3 linked regions of the Drosophila melanogaster genome follow. The protein of the gene in region 3 interacts with the protein of the main gene of each other region in a pairwise test. Each region holds a gene or a part of one and is shown on either strand. Other genes may lie near its edges.

The links. Proteins that work in one complex are often made in the same cells at the same time.
Region 1: the proteins of AP-1gamma (region 3) and Dpit47 interact in a two-hybrid assay, tested with the Drosophila melanogaster proteins (one large-scale study listed by BioGRID).
Region 2: the proteins of AP-1gamma (region 3) and Rbp9 interact in a two-hybrid assay, tested with the Drosophila melanogaster proteins (one large-scale study listed by BioGRID).

Annotation. Positions count from the first base shown.
Region 1 is NT_033778.4:6,659,226-6,664,090, forward strand, and holds Dpit47 (DNA polymerase interacting tpr containing protein of 47kD), read right to left. Parts: upstream 2,894-4,865; 5' UTR 2,704-2,893; coding exon 2,074-2,703; intron 2,017-2,073; coding exon 1,456-2,016; 3' UTR 1,420-1,455; downstream 1-1,419. Other genes in the region: sced (scrambled), read left to right, coding at 1-755; Adf1 (Adh transcription factor 1), read left to right, coding at 3,223-3,223, 3,344-3,532. UniProt on the Drosophila melanogaster protein: May act as a co-chaperone for HSP83.
Region 2 is NT_033779.5:2,952,825-2,958,680, forward strand, and holds the start of Rbp9 (RNA-binding protein 9), read left to right. Parts: upstream 1-1,937; 5' UTR 1,938-2,489; intron 2,490-2,555; 5' UTR 2,556-2,683; intron 2,684-4,086; exon of another isoform or gene 4,087-4,440; intron 4,441-5,856.
Region 3 is NC_004354.4:9,105,887-9,112,024, forward strand, and holds the start of AP-1gamma (adaptor protein complex 1, gamma subunit), read left to right. Parts: upstream 1-2,804; 5' UTR 2,805-3,044; coding exon 3,045-3,100; intron 3,101-3,663; exon of another isoform or gene 3,664-4,101; intron 4,102-4,731; exon of another isoform or gene 4,732-5,102; coding exon of another isoform or gene 5,103-5,119; intron 5,120-5,195; coding exon 5,196-5,257; intron 5,258-5,500; coding exon 5,501-5,642; intron 5,643-5,711; coding exon 5,712-5,900; intron 5,901-5,967; coding exon 5,968-6,138. Other genes in the region: Bx42, read right to left, coding at 1-71, 339-561; Arfrp1 (ADP-ribosylation factor related protein 1), read left to right, coding at 1,259-1,351, 1,419-1,671, 1,790-2,046.

The DNA of each region.
Region 1 (4,865 bases), on a different chromosome or scaffold from region 3:
CGAACAGCTGCGACACACTCAAGTCAAAGCGACGCAGTCCCACCGAACATGGACCTAGTTTTAGGCACTTAGTCAGTTCCAAGTTGCGACGTGAACGAAAGGAGAACCTCTACATTTCCTCGCCCCAGCAAATCATTGAGCAGCGTCACAAGGCGGCCACCATCTCATCAGCATCAGTATCAGCCAAGACTAAAAGCTCAACCAAAAAGACTGCCGCCCACAAAATTTCTGACAGTGTTTATGCAGTCACCCATCCGGTAAAGCGTCCGAACAGCACCAATAGCAACAATACCCACCAAAGCAACAATAACAATAACAATGAAGGCGTGGATGACGAACTGCTGCACTTGACCGTTTTGAAGAACATTGACTTTAAGTTTGATGATAGCCAAGCATCTGAGGATTCCTGCAAGGCGAAAGCATCTGCTCTTCCCGTAGCGAACGAATGCTTTGTACAGCCAAATCTGGAGAAGGAGTACGAGGATCGCTTTCAAGCGGCGGAAAAGGCTAGTCGTCTTTTGCAAAAGTATGCGACGCTGGCCAAAATCGGGCATTCGCCCAGCAAGGCGTTGCCCGCACCAGCGCGTCTGGAACCCATGATTCAGTCTGTGGCCACGTCCAATGAGTTGCAGCCCGAGGGAGGCACCATGAAAAAGTTCGCCTCCCTACCACGCTTCAAGAAAATTGACTTTTCGCCGCTGAAGATGAGACTCAATAGTGTCCTCCAGAGAAATCCACCTTCGCCGCAGCACTAAAATGGATTCTCCGTTTTCCGTAACCATGTTTAACACTTCGCTGTGGACACAAACTGCTTTTTAACCATTTCGCTATTTATGTTGTAGTTTCTTGTGAATGTGATCTGATTAGTTCGACAAGTTGATTATTATGTTATCCGAGTATATAATACGCTTTCCCACGATGCACTTAGTATTAAGCCTTATATGTATGGTCATCCTGCTTTGTCAAATGTATTTTAACGAACCATATCCGGATCCACTTGGGGGGTCCCCTAGTATTACTACTGTTGTGAACCAACGATGAATGTCTAAGAATATGCTCAATTATGAAAATTTACAAAAACGCTTTTATACGTATTAAACCAAAAACCACATTGTTGACTCATTTAGGCGCCTTGTTGTTAAAGAAAAACTAAATTTAGCTAAACAATTTTCAATTCTACAGATGATTAATCGTCTACCAAAATGGGCTTACGCCGCATCAGATATTTTTTGGCGGCGTAGCCTGAACTACGCTTTTCGGCTTCGCATAACATATCAGAGATTAGTTAAACTTACAATAAAATGCTTCAAGATAGCATAACCAATGCTGAACTGTACCGTGACTAAACCATAAGCTTACAAATAAAATATGCCACAAAAATGAAGTAAACTTTACAAGCAAATGAAAAGGTGTTTGTTTGTTTTCAAGAAGGAATCACTTTATTTGCTCACTGTCTTAACTGTAAACCATGGGTCGTCGCCGTTCGTTTATAAACTCCTGTTCCACTCGCGAATCCTTGTGCACCACATAGAAGAGCAGAGCGCCACCGGAAACGAAAAACCCCTTTTCGGCGATTATCTCGGCCAGCTGCTTCTCCTCGTCCACCTTGTGGACACAGCCCACCTTGCGGTTCTCGTAGTAAACGTGCACGTTACCCAGGCGGTAGTTGTGTGCCTTGTCGTATGGCAGCTTTTCGGTGAGCAGCGTCGCCAGGCAATCCCGCATGGTGGTGGTCTCCGGCAGCTGCTGATAAAAGTCGCTGTACAGGAACTCGGGGTAGGAGAACGCAGCCGGCCAGATCAGAGTGCTGCCGTCCTCGTCTAGGTGCACCGGATGGTCCTCCAAAGGCAGAAACTTTGGATAAAGGAGCTCCTCACTGAGGACGTCCTTTTTGCCAACTTTTTGATCGTCAAACTTAATGGCGCGCTGCTCGATGGCGTCGCGGAGTCTGTGGAAGCGTGTAAGCCGTCGCTTTGCCTCGGCAGCTTCCTTGCGCTGATTGCGTTCTATCTCGAGCTACGGAAATAACTTGTTTAATGTGGGTTCCTATCCAGTTGGATCACGTATTCTAACCTTCTTCATCTTGTTCTTGTGCAGCAGCGCGATGGCCACCTCGTTGTCGACGTCCACCTCGAGCAGCTCCTCGCACATCTGGGTGCACAGATCGAACCTCTCCAGCTCGTACGCACACTGTGCCGACCGCCAGCGGGCCTTTGTGTAGTCTGGCTTGTAGAACAGAGCTCGCTGGGCGTCGCTCAGCGAGGATCTGTAGTTCTTGATGAAGAAGTGAGCCGCCGAGCGGTTGTTGTAGAGAACGGCTAGCACGTCGGGATTGTCCGTCTTGGTCTTGATGCCCTCGGTAAAGCTGTAGATTGCCATGCGGAACTTCTTGTGCTTCATGTAAAAGTTGCCATCCTCCTTGTAGTTGAGCGCCAGCTCGTCGCGCGTGTTCTCCTCCGGATCGTACTTGAGCTTCTGCAGACCCTCGAACATCGGATGCACGTCATCCCCTGGCTGAGGAGCACGTTTCATGAAGAACGGGTGCTTGTCCATCTCCTCCTGCCAGCGGTCCTCCGGCCAGCCCTCCTCGTAACGTTTCTTCTCCAGGCCATCGATAAACGCATCCAGTTCCGCGTCCAGCTGGGCCGCCAGCTCCAGACGCTCCTCATCCGTCCAGGCTTTTTGTGCCGCCATTTGTTTCATTTGGTCTAATCAGAAACAGTGTGACCGCAGACGAACCGTTACAATATACCAACTGGCCAAAGGTGCCGCACATTTCCTAAAGGTGGCGCCTCTAAAATAAGGGTGGCCCTCCGTCTATCGATAGTCGTACGCTTCCTTCTTTAAACGAGCTAAACTCGGAACGAATTATGATCTTAACATCTTAAATCTTAACATGGTAAAACTTTAAGCCTTTTGACGCTTTACGCAGCTGTTGTGATATATCAGAAACATCGATAGTCGCCATAACATATTGTTATTGTATGAGAGTTTTAAAATTATCGATGCGCTGATGACCCCTTCATCGGCGTTTTCCCACCCCTAATTGGCAGAGACGCGACTGAGCTGGGACGTACCGTTACCGTTGGCAGAGACGCGACTGAGAAATAAAATTAAAACGTCGACGTTCCTTCCTCGTAGAAGAAACCAATCAAAATAAAAACAAACAGAGCGTGCGTTCGCGCCAAATACTTAACAACAATTAGCAAACGTAAGAAGCAAAGTGAGTGTCGTCGGCTGCGGGAGCCCGTGTGCCCAGTTTGGAACTGGGATCCGACCCAGTCCACGTCCGTCTCGTCCCCGCTAAATTTGTAACTCTTGTTTCCCCGTCTTGTCCCCTCAGTGCATACCCTCACGGCGGCCATTGAGATGGACAAGCTGGATGCCAATCTTGAGCAGCAGTTTGATCTCAATCTCATCGAGGCTGTCAAGCTGAACCCAGTGATATACGACAGGTCGCACTACAATTACAAGCACTTTGTGCGCAAGGCCCAGACCTGGAAACAAATCGCCGAAACGCTCGGTGTGCCTGGTAAGTGAAATTCGGCTGGTTTTGGCTACGGGTTTTCTGCTTTCTGTCAGCCGTCTTCGGTCCGTGCCCCAACCAGCCCCAGCCAATTGATTAATTCTGTGCGGGCGCAGGTCGAAGGGGCGGGACAAGTCAGTCGACGACGACGACAGAAAACGACGCAAAAGTGAACGGCGACGCGGCGCAGTAGCTGGCTGATGGTTAGGAAATGGCAGGGGGGGATCTATACGTGTGAGGGTGGGCGCGGGCTGCACCGCTCATAAATTGCATTTTATGCGAACTTTTTTTACTGCATTTATATGGTTGCATTTAGAATACAGTTCATTAGTAATTAAACCTAGGTTAATTTCTATCTGTAAAGATCTGCTCTAAAATGAGCGCCCCTTTCGGGCGCTCGGACTGCGGCCCTGCTTGCTCTGTCGGTGTGCAGACTGTGCTCAGTCGATATTTTTGAAGTTGCTGTACTTTGCCGTCGCGTCGCAGTAGTTGTCTCGCTCGCTCCGCAGCCATTCTGCTTGCGCCAGCGTTTATTTTCGTACACTGCGACTGCGATGTGCGCTGCTCACACACGTATACATGCATACAGCATACAGTGGCAGAAAACAGTTTGGCACGGGTTATAAATACGTATTTATTAGTAAAATAAATAAGTTGCTCAGTTCTTTAGACGAAACTATGGATTTTATTTTAATATTGAATAGGATGAGAATTCGGAAAATTAAAATATAGGGCTTTGGAAAGGTCAATAGATAAGCACAAATTAGAACAGCTGTGTCAACACTTCAGAGTCCCACTGTACATACCGGAGACCGACCAGGCAGCTTTCGTTTCGTTTTCATGAGTATACCAACAAAATGTACCGTTCACCCCACCCCCTCGACGGCCGTTGATCGAACCTTAAATTTTCGGCCAAATCGCTGCACCTCATCCGCTTTCGATTATGCAAGTAGGTGGCTGGAAAGCTGGAGTTGCAGTCAAGTGGAGCCAGCAGCAATGCCACAGGTTTCCGTCTCCTGGCAGCGGGCAGCGGGAGTCGGCGACGTCACAGCCACCGTCACGTCAACGTCTCTGCTGGCGCTGGGAAGCTGCTGTCCGCTGCCTTCCTTCTGCCACCGACGCTGCTGCTGCCAACGGTTTGTTTTGGTTCCCGATTTGATGCTTCTTTGGGTGGGTTTGATGGCATAGTTCTAGTTTCTGCACAGTTCCGGACTACACTAGTCCAGAGCTTCTTGAAGAACCTTCTGTGGAGAACCGCCACGCACAGCTGCGCAGGTGTGCTTGCACCGGTTGTTATGAACAGGTCTTCGAGAAAAAAGCATTTATTCAATGTAACAGA
Region 2 (5,856 bases), on a different chromosome or scaffold from region 3:
AATTTTACTTTGCAGCCTTGGTAAAGAAAAATGTTAGCAAATATAATTATACATATTATGGCATATATAAAGAAAAGTTATAGTTATAAATTCTTTATAATATTTCTATATGAATTATGTTTAACGCAACTATTTTATTAATTTTAAATTAATTTTTAAAAAGCAATCACAACACGTTTTTAGAACAAAATACATGAATGAAAACAATATATATTTATATTAATATATATTTCAAATATATACACGCAATTGTATTTCTCTTTTGGTTTTATTTCTTTCAACCCATCCATAAAACCACCTCATCCACAGTCTATTCCCAACATAATTCATAAATTCATAATGGGTGCCTCAAAACTCTCACACAGACGCAACAACTAATAGTGCATTAGTAGACTTAAACGAGTTAAAAATCAATCGAAATAGACTTGCCCTCGAAATAGTTATATAAGCTGTACATATAGCCGCCAGTATACAAGAAATATATTTTTAAATGCCAAAAAGTGAGCGCTGTAAACTACTTTAAGCCAACTTCAATCAGCAGAATTTGAAAATGAGTGGGGATTGGGATAGGATGGTACGATGGTAGGATGGTAGGATTCTGGAATACATTCATATATTGACCGAGTTGAGCAGCCAGCATTTTCTTGTTGACTTTTATTTTGGCATGTACGAAATCGAAACTACGAAAATCAAAGCAAAAATGTAACGAAAAACAAAACGGAAAGCAAAACAAAGTAAGAAAGAATATTAAATTAATATTAGTAATGGTTCTGGGGAAACAAGGCATTCGCTCGCATTCGACAAATGAAACCGAAAACAAACATTTAAATTGTAGACAAATTTTAAGTTATCACTAAAATGACGAGTGCCGAATGCCGATGGAGAATTTGCGCAACTTTATTGTGCAGTGCAACTACATAAGTGTAATTATTATAAATTGGTACACATGCATACATATGTATTGTTAATTATTAAAACGATGTAAATAATACAATTACGTAGGCGGGAAGACACGGACACAAACATGCATATAATTAAAGTAAGCATAATTACATGCCTAACTATAAATAACTATATATTGGTATATATAAAGATATATAATATATATATATTTTTATATATATACACGATGAATTAAACTAAACAACGTAGAAATCATAGTTAAATTTTTTCGAAGTGACAAGATTAACGTGCAGCAATAAGCAACCGACAAGAACAACAACAACAACCACAACAACAACAAAAACAAACGAAACGCGCCTAGTAATAGTTAATAATTCTATTTTGTTAAGCGTTATTGTAGTGAAACGAAACAAAAGAAAACCAAACAAAAACAAAAACAAAACCGAACCGACAGATCGAACAGCAAAACCAACAGAATTAAGTTTTAAGCTGGACTTTGGAACGTGGAAAGCGAGTAGAAAACCAAAATGAATGCAAAACATGTTGTTCATTGACAAAGCTAAAAGTAAATATATATTTTGTACAAATATAATTAAATTCAGCCGCAGCTAAAACCAAGTACACTTATTAAAGTTTAAGCAACAACAGAACAACAACCAATTTAATATGCAATTACCGTAACAGTAGTTGATAAATCGAACGAATAAAACATCAAAAATTGTAACATTTACATAACTGCCTTTTGTGTCTTGCTTTTTTTTAACACTATGGATGGTTGTAATAACGGAAGGAGATGCTTTAAAAATTCAGTGTGACCAGGCAAGGTTATAAATTCATGTCCATCTGTTTCAAACAAAAGCTGGAAATTCTTAACTCCTGTTCCTTAGGGGAACACTTGAAGCCGAATGCAATTAAAACGATTTCTTATCTTGATAATGCTCATGACGAAAGGAAGTTTCGATCAATACGAGAAAAACTTTTTGCATGATTAATCGATCAGTGCTGGTAAGTCGCCAAAGTAGTCTGTCAGTGTTAGCAACTCAACGTGTTACTTGCTGTGCTTTCGACAGCGTGGTGTCGATTCTTCGAATTCATCGTTTACAACTTCATCATAAGGAATGCAAAATCAAAGCGATTTTGTGGGTGAGATCCCCAGGTACACTCGCAACAAGAGAAGGCAATATCAGCGCCAACGACGTAAGGCACATCCGCAAATTCCAGGGGTATTAACAGGAGGACCAGAGCCAGAGAAAGTCAACAATTGTCAGAGAAAGAGACCCATCAAGGGCCACGTGTATGACTCCACCAGCGAGGAGGATATGACCATCAAACGTAAGCATACAGACGCCTCGTGGTACAAGGTTCAAGTTAAATGCGAGAATGTGTCCCCGAACATCGAGGAGAAGCACGGCAACAAGATCAAGCAGCCTTCCTTAGCGTGGAACAACAACAGGAAGCCCAATAAAGGGGATCTACCACAACCACCGCTATCTTGGCTTTATCCCAACCAATCTAGGGGCTTTTATGACAACCAAAGCTGGAACTCTGGCGGCTCACGTCAGAATCAGTCGCAGTGGGAAGCACCAGTAAGCTGAAAATCAATTATTCATTTAAATAATTAAATTAACCGAATTTTATATGCACATCCGCAGAGGCAAGAACATTCATCTTCAGCTCAAGGCCGTAGTGCCAGGAACCCATATCTGAACCCTATTCAGGAATCCTGCAATGGGCGTTATATTATTGAACATCAATGGAACACGACCATTATCCATCACAAGTAAGGTAAGGCAACAAGAATGAATTACATAAAAACCTATTCGCTAAAGAAGATTTAACACAGCCACTTATTGTACACAAATCTATAGTATGTCATTTATAACTACATCGTGGGGATTTTCCCGATTTCCCAAACACAGGACATTTTCATGAAAGGGCCTTACATGTCTGATCAGTTAGGTAAGGGTTAAAAGCGCAACATTTTGAGATGCATTGGGCCCCAACACCTATGCAAAGTGAGTGCATGCATGTGGGTTGCTGTTATTGTGATGGTGTGCAAGCAGCAACAAAACAAACCGCATATAAATAAGGAGAGCGAGGTATTGTTGCATACTTGTAGGCAGCGGGATGGGGGTGGAGCTGTTCTGTTCCATCCGCTCGCAAAGTTCAATGGTCTTTTGACACAAATGATGATGATGTCAAGTTGAGCTCGTCCTACGCTCCTGCCTTGCTCTCTCTCTCTCTGATGCTCTTTCTAGCTTGCGCTCTTGGGTTTAAAGCCCCTCTGGCACCTTCCCTTCAGTCAGCAGCCGTTGTTGTTGTTGCTTAAGTGTTTGTTTGGGTGCCGTGCTGGCTCTCTCAGCTCCAACAACAGCAATGCGGCCGGCTTACGAGCCCCGGCTCTCTTCGCCTCTTTTGGAGCTCGCTCTTTGCCGAACGGAGAACCTACCGCAATTCGTTTCGTGTTCACGGCTGCATTTCCTTGTTTATGTTTTGCGAAGCCAAATGTAGGGTACATCGGTTAAGTGCCGAGCCAGGAGAAAGAGAGAGCGAGCGAACGAGTACCGTTATGTTGCCGGAGCTGTTGCAGGCTGCGCAACTTGCGGCTGCAGCTTTTTATTATTTGCCTTCTTCTTCGCGACCGTTACTTCTCGCATGGTACAATGGTGCAACTGTGCCCAAGCTGTATATTGAAAATAAAACAGCACTTCTGCATCTCACTGATGTGCAATGGCATTTAAGCTTATCCTGAAACGTGTCAGGTGCATTTACTTATTTCTATACATTTACAAATTGTTGCATAGGTTGTCTTTTGAGTTTAGTTGGGACCGAAATCCATTATTTCAAATAAAATAGAACAACATTTTGGATATAACAATACATATTTAGCATATGTCAGGTCAGTCTAATATTATTATCTATATTTGCAACACAAGAAAGTAGAAGGGTTAAAGTTCGCGCTCAATGTTTGAATTTGTCCCACTGTGCATGCGAGAGCAAAACTACGCAGTTATGCTGTGCATTCGCCACCGCCCCCCTCCCGCCCTCTGCAGGGCCGTGCTCAACTGTACGCCAATTGGAGGAGAGGAGGAGCTCTGCCGCTGGGGCCGCGGACTGCGGCGCGGCAGCGCTGTCACGGGTCCTGGCTGCAGTTATCCTGGCGGCAATCGAACACTTTAATCATTTAGTTCTTGCACTCTCCGGCAGCAAGTTGTGTTTTTTGATTCTCGTCGTATTGTCGTCGTTTCTGAATTGTTGTATATCGGTATCAAAATACACACATCTTGCATACTCACGCAACTACGCCCACATACACATATACATGTACGTGTGTCCAATTGCACGTAGTGTGGAATCCGAATCAGTATCGAAATCAGTTCGAAAACCCTTAGTGTGTGCGTGCTCAATTCAGTTTTCAAATTGAAACTACATCATTTGCAACGAAGAACATTTTCCAGTCCCAGTTCCAGAACCATTTTCTTTCGAGTCGAGTTGGGAAAATCGGTGTTGTATGCTTTGCGGCGCTGGCGAATAAATGTAAGCGAACAGAGAAGAATGCTACGGATATGTAGTTACAGTTACAGTTACACCATTTTATTTGCAAAAGTGCCCACACCCAAAGTCGATTTTTCGCCTGCATTCGTATGTGTGCGAATAGTAAAACGGAGCTCAATGGGGCGGCTTGCAGTCGGCGAAATCTCAATTTCTCTACACTCTGATATATATTTGCCGCCTACACACACACACAAGCACACAGAAGTCCATGCAGCTGCGTTTCGTGCAGCGCCGGCATCGCAGTTTTCATTTCGCTGCCTGCAGCCGCCATTTAACCTAAAAAACGCCGCACAGGAGCGGTTTCTTCAGAGGGAGTCGATCCCCAAAAATAATGATTTATTGACCTGTTTTCCATATAAAAGTTTCCTTAAAGCTAGTTCGTACAAATGTGGCACAAAGTTCCCTTGATTAGATGTAGATTTTCAAATGGTAGAAGTTCGAGAACTTGTTACAAGACTTGAAATTTTCTAGTGCAATTATCGGATTTATTTATTTTAAAAGAAATTCTTTAATTTCCGTAGTAGGATTTCTGAGAGATTATTGGAGCCCCTGATCTCGGAGGGACCCCTTCGAGACGGCCCTGCTTAGGCAGCGCAGTTGCCGTCGACGACGACGCCAGCTTGCAGTTAAGCTCGCTCTCTGGCTCCCATTCTCTCTCTGTGGCGCTCAATAGCCATTGCATATCTTGTGGCGCGCTCAGCTGACTGCTGCGCTTTCGCTGCAGCCTGCGCTCTCACTGTCTCTCCCGCTCTATCTCTCCGCCCATATATCCTGTTTATTTTTGCCGCACCCAAATCAAATGCATACGGCCTCAGCCGCCGTCCTTATAAGTTCCTCTACTTTGCTGACCCGTTACTTGTCCAGAACTCCTTCGCTCGCTCTCTCTCTCTGTCTCTCCTTTCATCCGCTGCCTTTGCCTTTGCCAAGGTGTGTCACTTTTTTGTTTTGTTCCTGCCCTTTGAACACTTCTTCCCCATTCTTCCAGTATTCGTAAGTGTGAGTGCGTGTGTGTGTGTGTGTCTGCATAGGTATGTGCCATCAAATCCATCAATTAGCCGGAAACAATTTCCAACTATTTATGAATGAAAATTAATGGTTGCGCCCCCTTATTTTGGGGGCGTGAATCGAAAGAGGAGGAAAGAGGAAGCTTCCTTCGGTTGACTGAAAACAGAAAAGGACTTCAGGAGCTACCAAAAAGTTTAAGAAATTTAAAGGAGTGTCAGATATTCTTAAAGAGTGTAAAAAAACTGATTCTATATTGATGCAGTCTATGAGGTCTAATATATGGTACAGTTTTTTAATTAACATATTAATGTACACATTAGTTTACGGTTAATTATTAAATAGTAGATAGGACAAACGCACTTACCATGACCGGAAGGCGGCTTATTTGAGCAA
Region 3 (6,138 bases):
CTTTCCCTTGTCGTCCAGGCGAACGGCCAGAGCATCCGACTTCTTGCCAACATTTCCTGGTGCTCCCAGACCTGTCGAGAAGATGAAGAAGACGCAGAAATTGTTTCAATTGAATAAGCCACGCTTCAAAATGCTGATCATAAAATACAAAAATACAACATTCTACAGCAAACGTTTAACTTAATGTGGTGGAAATTGAAGCCTTCTCGCTGTACAATCACCCACATATAAGAAGCTAATGGTTATTTCCCTTACGAGGACACCATTACCAACGAAAAACCGCGACAACATTGTTTGCAAGCACAGAGAAAGTGGGATTAGCACGAACGGGAACCCACCTAGTGGATATTGCGCCACATGGATCTCCGGGAAGGCGCCGCCATCGCCAAAGTCCGCATCCGTATGTGGTACCCAATCCTTACGCTGTCCGTACGGCGGAGCAGCGATTTTGGCGGAGACCAGGGCTCCGATCTTTGGTGCTCCGCGGGCGACCAGGCGACGCTCGTCCTCCCGATCCCAGATCGCGTTCGTCGGCGTGGGCAGCAGGCTTGATAGCGACATAGCTTATCTGTTATTTGTGGCGAATCAATTCTTATGTGAAATCACTTTTCAATATGCAAGCCACAAAAACTATAATGGAAAAGTCGAAAAAAAAAACACGCACGCACACGGACACACACAAGCGTACGGGTGTGTAGGGTTGCCAGACTGCTAATAAGAAAATGCTATAGAGTATGGTCCCTTTTAGGGATGGATTGCATATATTGCGTTTTTCTTAAGACGTAAGAAAACCAAATTGGTAGAAATAACAAAGCGATAGCTTTTTCCAAATTTGAACGCGAATCGGTAGTGGATTGGTAATGGTCATCAAACATCATCAAAATTTGCAAAAAATGGTCAAAAAATTGAATTTGCATTTTTGAACACAGTTTGATTTGAAATTTTATTACGAGCTTAACGAGGTATGACATTCCATATTTGGACCATTATTTCGAATGTTCTTATCAAAATACTACAATATGGTTTATAAAAATCAGGGGCAATCAGAGAAAATTTGAATAATTTATTTTTATTACCTTAACAGAACTGTGCAATACTTAAAAATATAATTTATAGACATCCCCCTAATAATTAGATAGATATAAGTGACACTTGCCCGATCGATACTATCGCATCGCCCTAGCCGCTGGCAGTGCCATCGCTAGCAGTTCAGTCAACAATTTAAGTTTTTGTTTTTGTTGGCCAAAAACACAATACAATGTACACATTGATGCACGGCTTCTACAAATACATGACTCAGAAGGACGACTACTGCGTGGTAATCCTGGGCCTGGACAATGCTGGCAAAACGGTAGGCAGCTGAATCATCCAATGAAAGCCTCATGTCCAATCGGAAACTAACACCTGTGCCCACGTAGACTTACCTGGAGGCCGCCAAGACCACGTTTACGCGTAACTATAAGGGCCTCAATCCGAGCAAGATCACGACGACGGTGGGCCTCAACATCGGCACCATCGACGTGCAGGGCGTACGCCTCAACTTCTGGGATCTTGGTGGCCAGCAGGAGCTGCAATCTCTCTGGGATAAGTACTACCAGGAGTCGCATGGCGTCATCTACGTGATTGATTCCAACGACAGGGAGCGCATGGAAGAGTCCAAAGCGATATTTGGTAAGCGAAAACAGTCTTCGAACTAATCCCTTGAACAAAACTCGTTTTGATCTATTCTGATGATCTCTGGTAAAAGGAAAAAGGTTCACCTAAAATGTGTTATTCTCTTTCCCCACAGACAAGATGATCAAGAACGAACTGCTGTCCGGAGTGCCTTTGCTAATCCTGGCCAACAAACAGGATCTGCCGGATGTGATGGGCGTGCGGGAGATCAAGCCAGTTTTCCAGCAGGCGGGTGCTTTAATCGGGCGGCGAGATTGCCTCACCATTCCCGTATCCGCGCTGCACGGCGAGGGCGTGGACGAGGGCATTAAGTGGCTGGTGGAGGCCATCAAACGACATGCGGTGGTGCGGCCGCCGCGGGAAAACGATTAGAAGATCAAGCAGAAGACATCTGGGCCTGGTAGTCGGCCCTCCACTGGCTTTAATTAGACATGTACTTTTGTAAGTTAGGGGCTTAGGATAACGCTTATTTGTAATTAGCCAGACGAGATTGCGAGATACCAATTGTAAAGATGCGTTGTCATTATTTGCAAAGACCTTTCTTTTCGGTTAACTACTGCTGAGAAAATGAGGAAAACAATGTTAGAAAGCTGTGAGACTTCTGCATAGGACAACGAATTACAAATACTATTGTTAGAATAACAAAGAACGCAATGCTTATTAGCCAATTAAGTGCAAGAACTATAAATTCAGAAGTACTTGAAGATGTATTTGAAGAAGTACTTTGTTCTGTTAATAACCCAGATACATGGGTATTTGGATGCCAAAAATGTAATAAAACTGAATCCATTCGCAGCTGTTATGGTTAATCGTTAGCCACAAAGTGTGTGGGCGATTCGAGGTCCACCAAAATCGGGAGAGTCGCTTCTTTATCTAACAGCACTGCACTCGTAGTACACCTCGATATGGCGGTTGTCAATGGGGCTCCGCTTATCCGAACCGAACGACACCGAACCGCGGAAAGAAACAACCAGCAAACAGACGGGATTGTGGTGTTCTCACGGCGGGGGGAGCATTATTATTACCATTATCAGTCCGATAGATAAGTGCTGTGTGTGCCACCAAAAAGCAAAGGCGGAGGAAAATGAAAATGAACTAAAAACAACACCTGGTGAGTGGCACTGGAATCGTCAGTCTTCCGCAGGAGTTTCCACCGCTCGGACTGGAAATGATCGGCCGCCAGCAAGGGCTAGATAGCTAGACCTCGAGCCAGAGCTAGAGAAAAGAAGAGCGTTACCTGTTAATTATTAGTGTACATTAGATAAGGCCTATGTGAAGCACTCGCCGCTTATCGCTGCCATTCCCATACCCGAACGCGCTCCCGCTCCCATTCCATTCGGTTTAGTTCCGTGCTCCAGTGAGAAGCCACCATGTATCCGTATTACGAGCAGGACTGGAGCGTTCTGCCGCCGGAGAACAATCGCAGGTGAGATGAAATCCCGCCCGGTGCTCGTTCATACCCTTAAAGATTCGCCAGTCGATCTTTAGAAAATGAGACTTTTGAAAGTGTTTTTCAAAAATGACGTTATCGCAGTGTGACCGTCCATTGACCGCTCTGCATAGCGGTATTTTTTTTTTATTTGTGCTGTGGTGTGGCAAAAGAAAATCGTTGAATCACCCTGTGTAAATGCAATTTATTGTCCCCCTATTATCTCTTTTATTTTGGTAAAACTGCCCCTTCTCTACTGGCATTCCATGTGAGTTGTTGCGGTTCGAATGCAATGCCATGGAAATATAATTAAGTGCATCTTTTACTTTGATAAGGCAATCAAATTAACTGAACGAATATTAAACTCAAACTGTTACTTATCTCTCAGATAAACACAATTAATTTGTAATGATTTATGCCTCAGTCTTGATATTTTCCGTATAACTATTTGTTTGGTTGATAAATCATTGAATACCTACCCACTGTGCCATCAAATGCGCTAACGCCTATCAGCGCGAGGCGTTAATGCCTTTTGCGCACACTGCTTGTAAATATCGCGCTCTCGCTCGCACCCACTACCACTGTTGCGCTCATCATCAACATATTCTCGACGAAACATTTTTTTTTACTTGTTACGTTGATTTTGTGGCGTTTAAAATAGCGATTAACCAGCGCCAAGTTGGCCCAGCGAACATGTGCTAAAGCGTAAATGCAGTGCTAGAATAGGCATTTATTCAATTGCAGAATCATTCCAGTTAAAAGCGAAGGTGTGTGCGTGTACTTGCGACGACGGGCCGTGTGTGTTGAAATTTTTTTTTTAGTTTTTGTCGCGTTGTTAAATTTTATAGTTGAAAAAAGCTAACGTGTTTCCTGATTATTCATTAACAAAAAAAACGTAACGCCGCCAAGTGCGCGAATGCATCCAATTTGTTAAAACGGAAATGCCCGTTGAAAAGTGTGCCATAGATTTTCCTGCCCTTTTCTTGTTGGCCCAAAAGGCATGCATGAGTGTATATATGTGTGTGTGTGCGTGAGCAAGTGTGTGTAGGCCTTCCAGCGAATCGCATAAATTAGCAGGCGAAAAATCACATTGAAAACAAACGAGGAAAGCTCGCAAGAAAAAAACCCTACGTGTTAAATATATACTATAGGGTATATAGGAGTGACGTTATTTCATGACTTTTTAATGCAATCGATATGTATGTATGTATGTCAGTTATGCTATCGCTGGCAGCTGTTTTCGTTTTTTGCCCAGTTCACTTAATAAAATATTAAGTGGACATCAGTAAACAAGTTGGATTTTTCGGGCTTACTGCTTCTCCTTTTCCAATTGGAAACCCTTTGCGCGCGTATGAATGTCTCTATTAATGTGTGTGCGTGTGTGTGCATTAATCATTTAATCAATTTGCATTGCGCTCCAAACTAAAGTGAATAAAGCACAGTAATTTGTTGTTGCCTTGGCCAGAAAGAGAGATCAAACGTATTTGTTTGAGCCAACTCACACACACCCACACCCATGCACGCATCTGAGATGTCAGTTTCATAACAACAGCGATCTACTTTATGTCAGCGGTAATTGTACCTGCTTTTATTTAAACTATTCAGCTTATTTTTTCCAATTCCATTAGCTTGGAAAGAGAGCAAGCGAGAGAAGGATAGAGAGTAGGAGAGCAAGTGCAACAAAATAGCGGCCGGCTGTTATTCCCTGTGTGTGTGTGTGCGCGCGTGTGTGTGCGTTTGTGTGGGAGTGCAGGTGTGTGTGCGCGGAAGATCTGCAGAGGAAAAACCGTTATTTCGTTTCGCTAATTTGTGTTGTTGCCCCGCCGCAACAGCAACAAAAAGAAAACAGAAGAGCACATAAGCCGGCAAATAGTTAACAAAACCAGACGTAATAGAATATAATAATAATAACAAAAATATAAATAAAAATACGAACCAGTAAAAGAAGGAGCAAAAAAAAGGCTGCCACACAAGTGATTCAACGTTTCTCGTCGCCACAATGAACTCCGAGCATGGGTAGGATCCTAAACAGCAGTGCAAACATCCCTAGAATTATGCCCATATAAACCCATTTAACCTCTTCCTCCGGCAGATTTAATCCAGCCTTCAATATGGCCACCATACGGCAAGCATTCACAGAGGCGGTGGAGAGAGGTAAGTCCAAGACAGTGAACACCACTTGGTAGATTGCTCCAATAAGAAGATGATCGTGTGCTTGTGATCACCCAAAAGGTGGCTACAAGTACGCTGCACTCCTTATTCATTCAGATATATAGTTATAGTTCTATTAATGACCTGAAACGAAGGATACAGGCAGGGGTTAAGAGAGAAAGATCAGCGGCCAGACAGACAAAAACCCGATTAATTAACATATTCACATCCACTTCTCGCCCACAGTCAGAATGCCTACGCCCACACGCCTGCGCGACCTCATCCGACAGATTCGCGCCGCCAGAACCGCCGCCGAGGAGCGGGCGGTGGTCAACAAAGAGTGCGCCTACATACGGAGCACGTTCCGCGAGGAGGACTCCGTCTGGCGGTGAGTCATCTACACCCGGTTGCAATATACATATGTATATACTATATATATATATATATTCGCCCACAGCTGTCGCAACATTGCCAAGCTGCTGTACATACACATGCTCGGCTATCCGGCTCACTTTGGCCAACTGGAGTGCCTTAAGCTGACGGCCAGCACGCGGTTCACAGACAAGCGGATCGGCTACCTGGGCGCCATGCTGCTGCTGGATGAGCGGCAGGATGTCCACCTGCTTATCACCAACTGCTTGAAGAAGTAAGCTTTAGTGGGCGGTCTAATTTTGCACTTAATGCACTAACTTATAACACAATCTCAATTGCAGCGACTTGAACAGCTCGACGCAGTTCGTCGTGGGCCTAGCCCTATGCACTCTGGGTGCGATCGCCTCACCGGAGATGGCCCGAGATCTGGCCAGCGAGGTGGAGCGTCTGATGAAGTCCCCGAACACGTACATTCGCAAGAAGGCGACGCTGTGCGCCTTTCGCGTCATTCG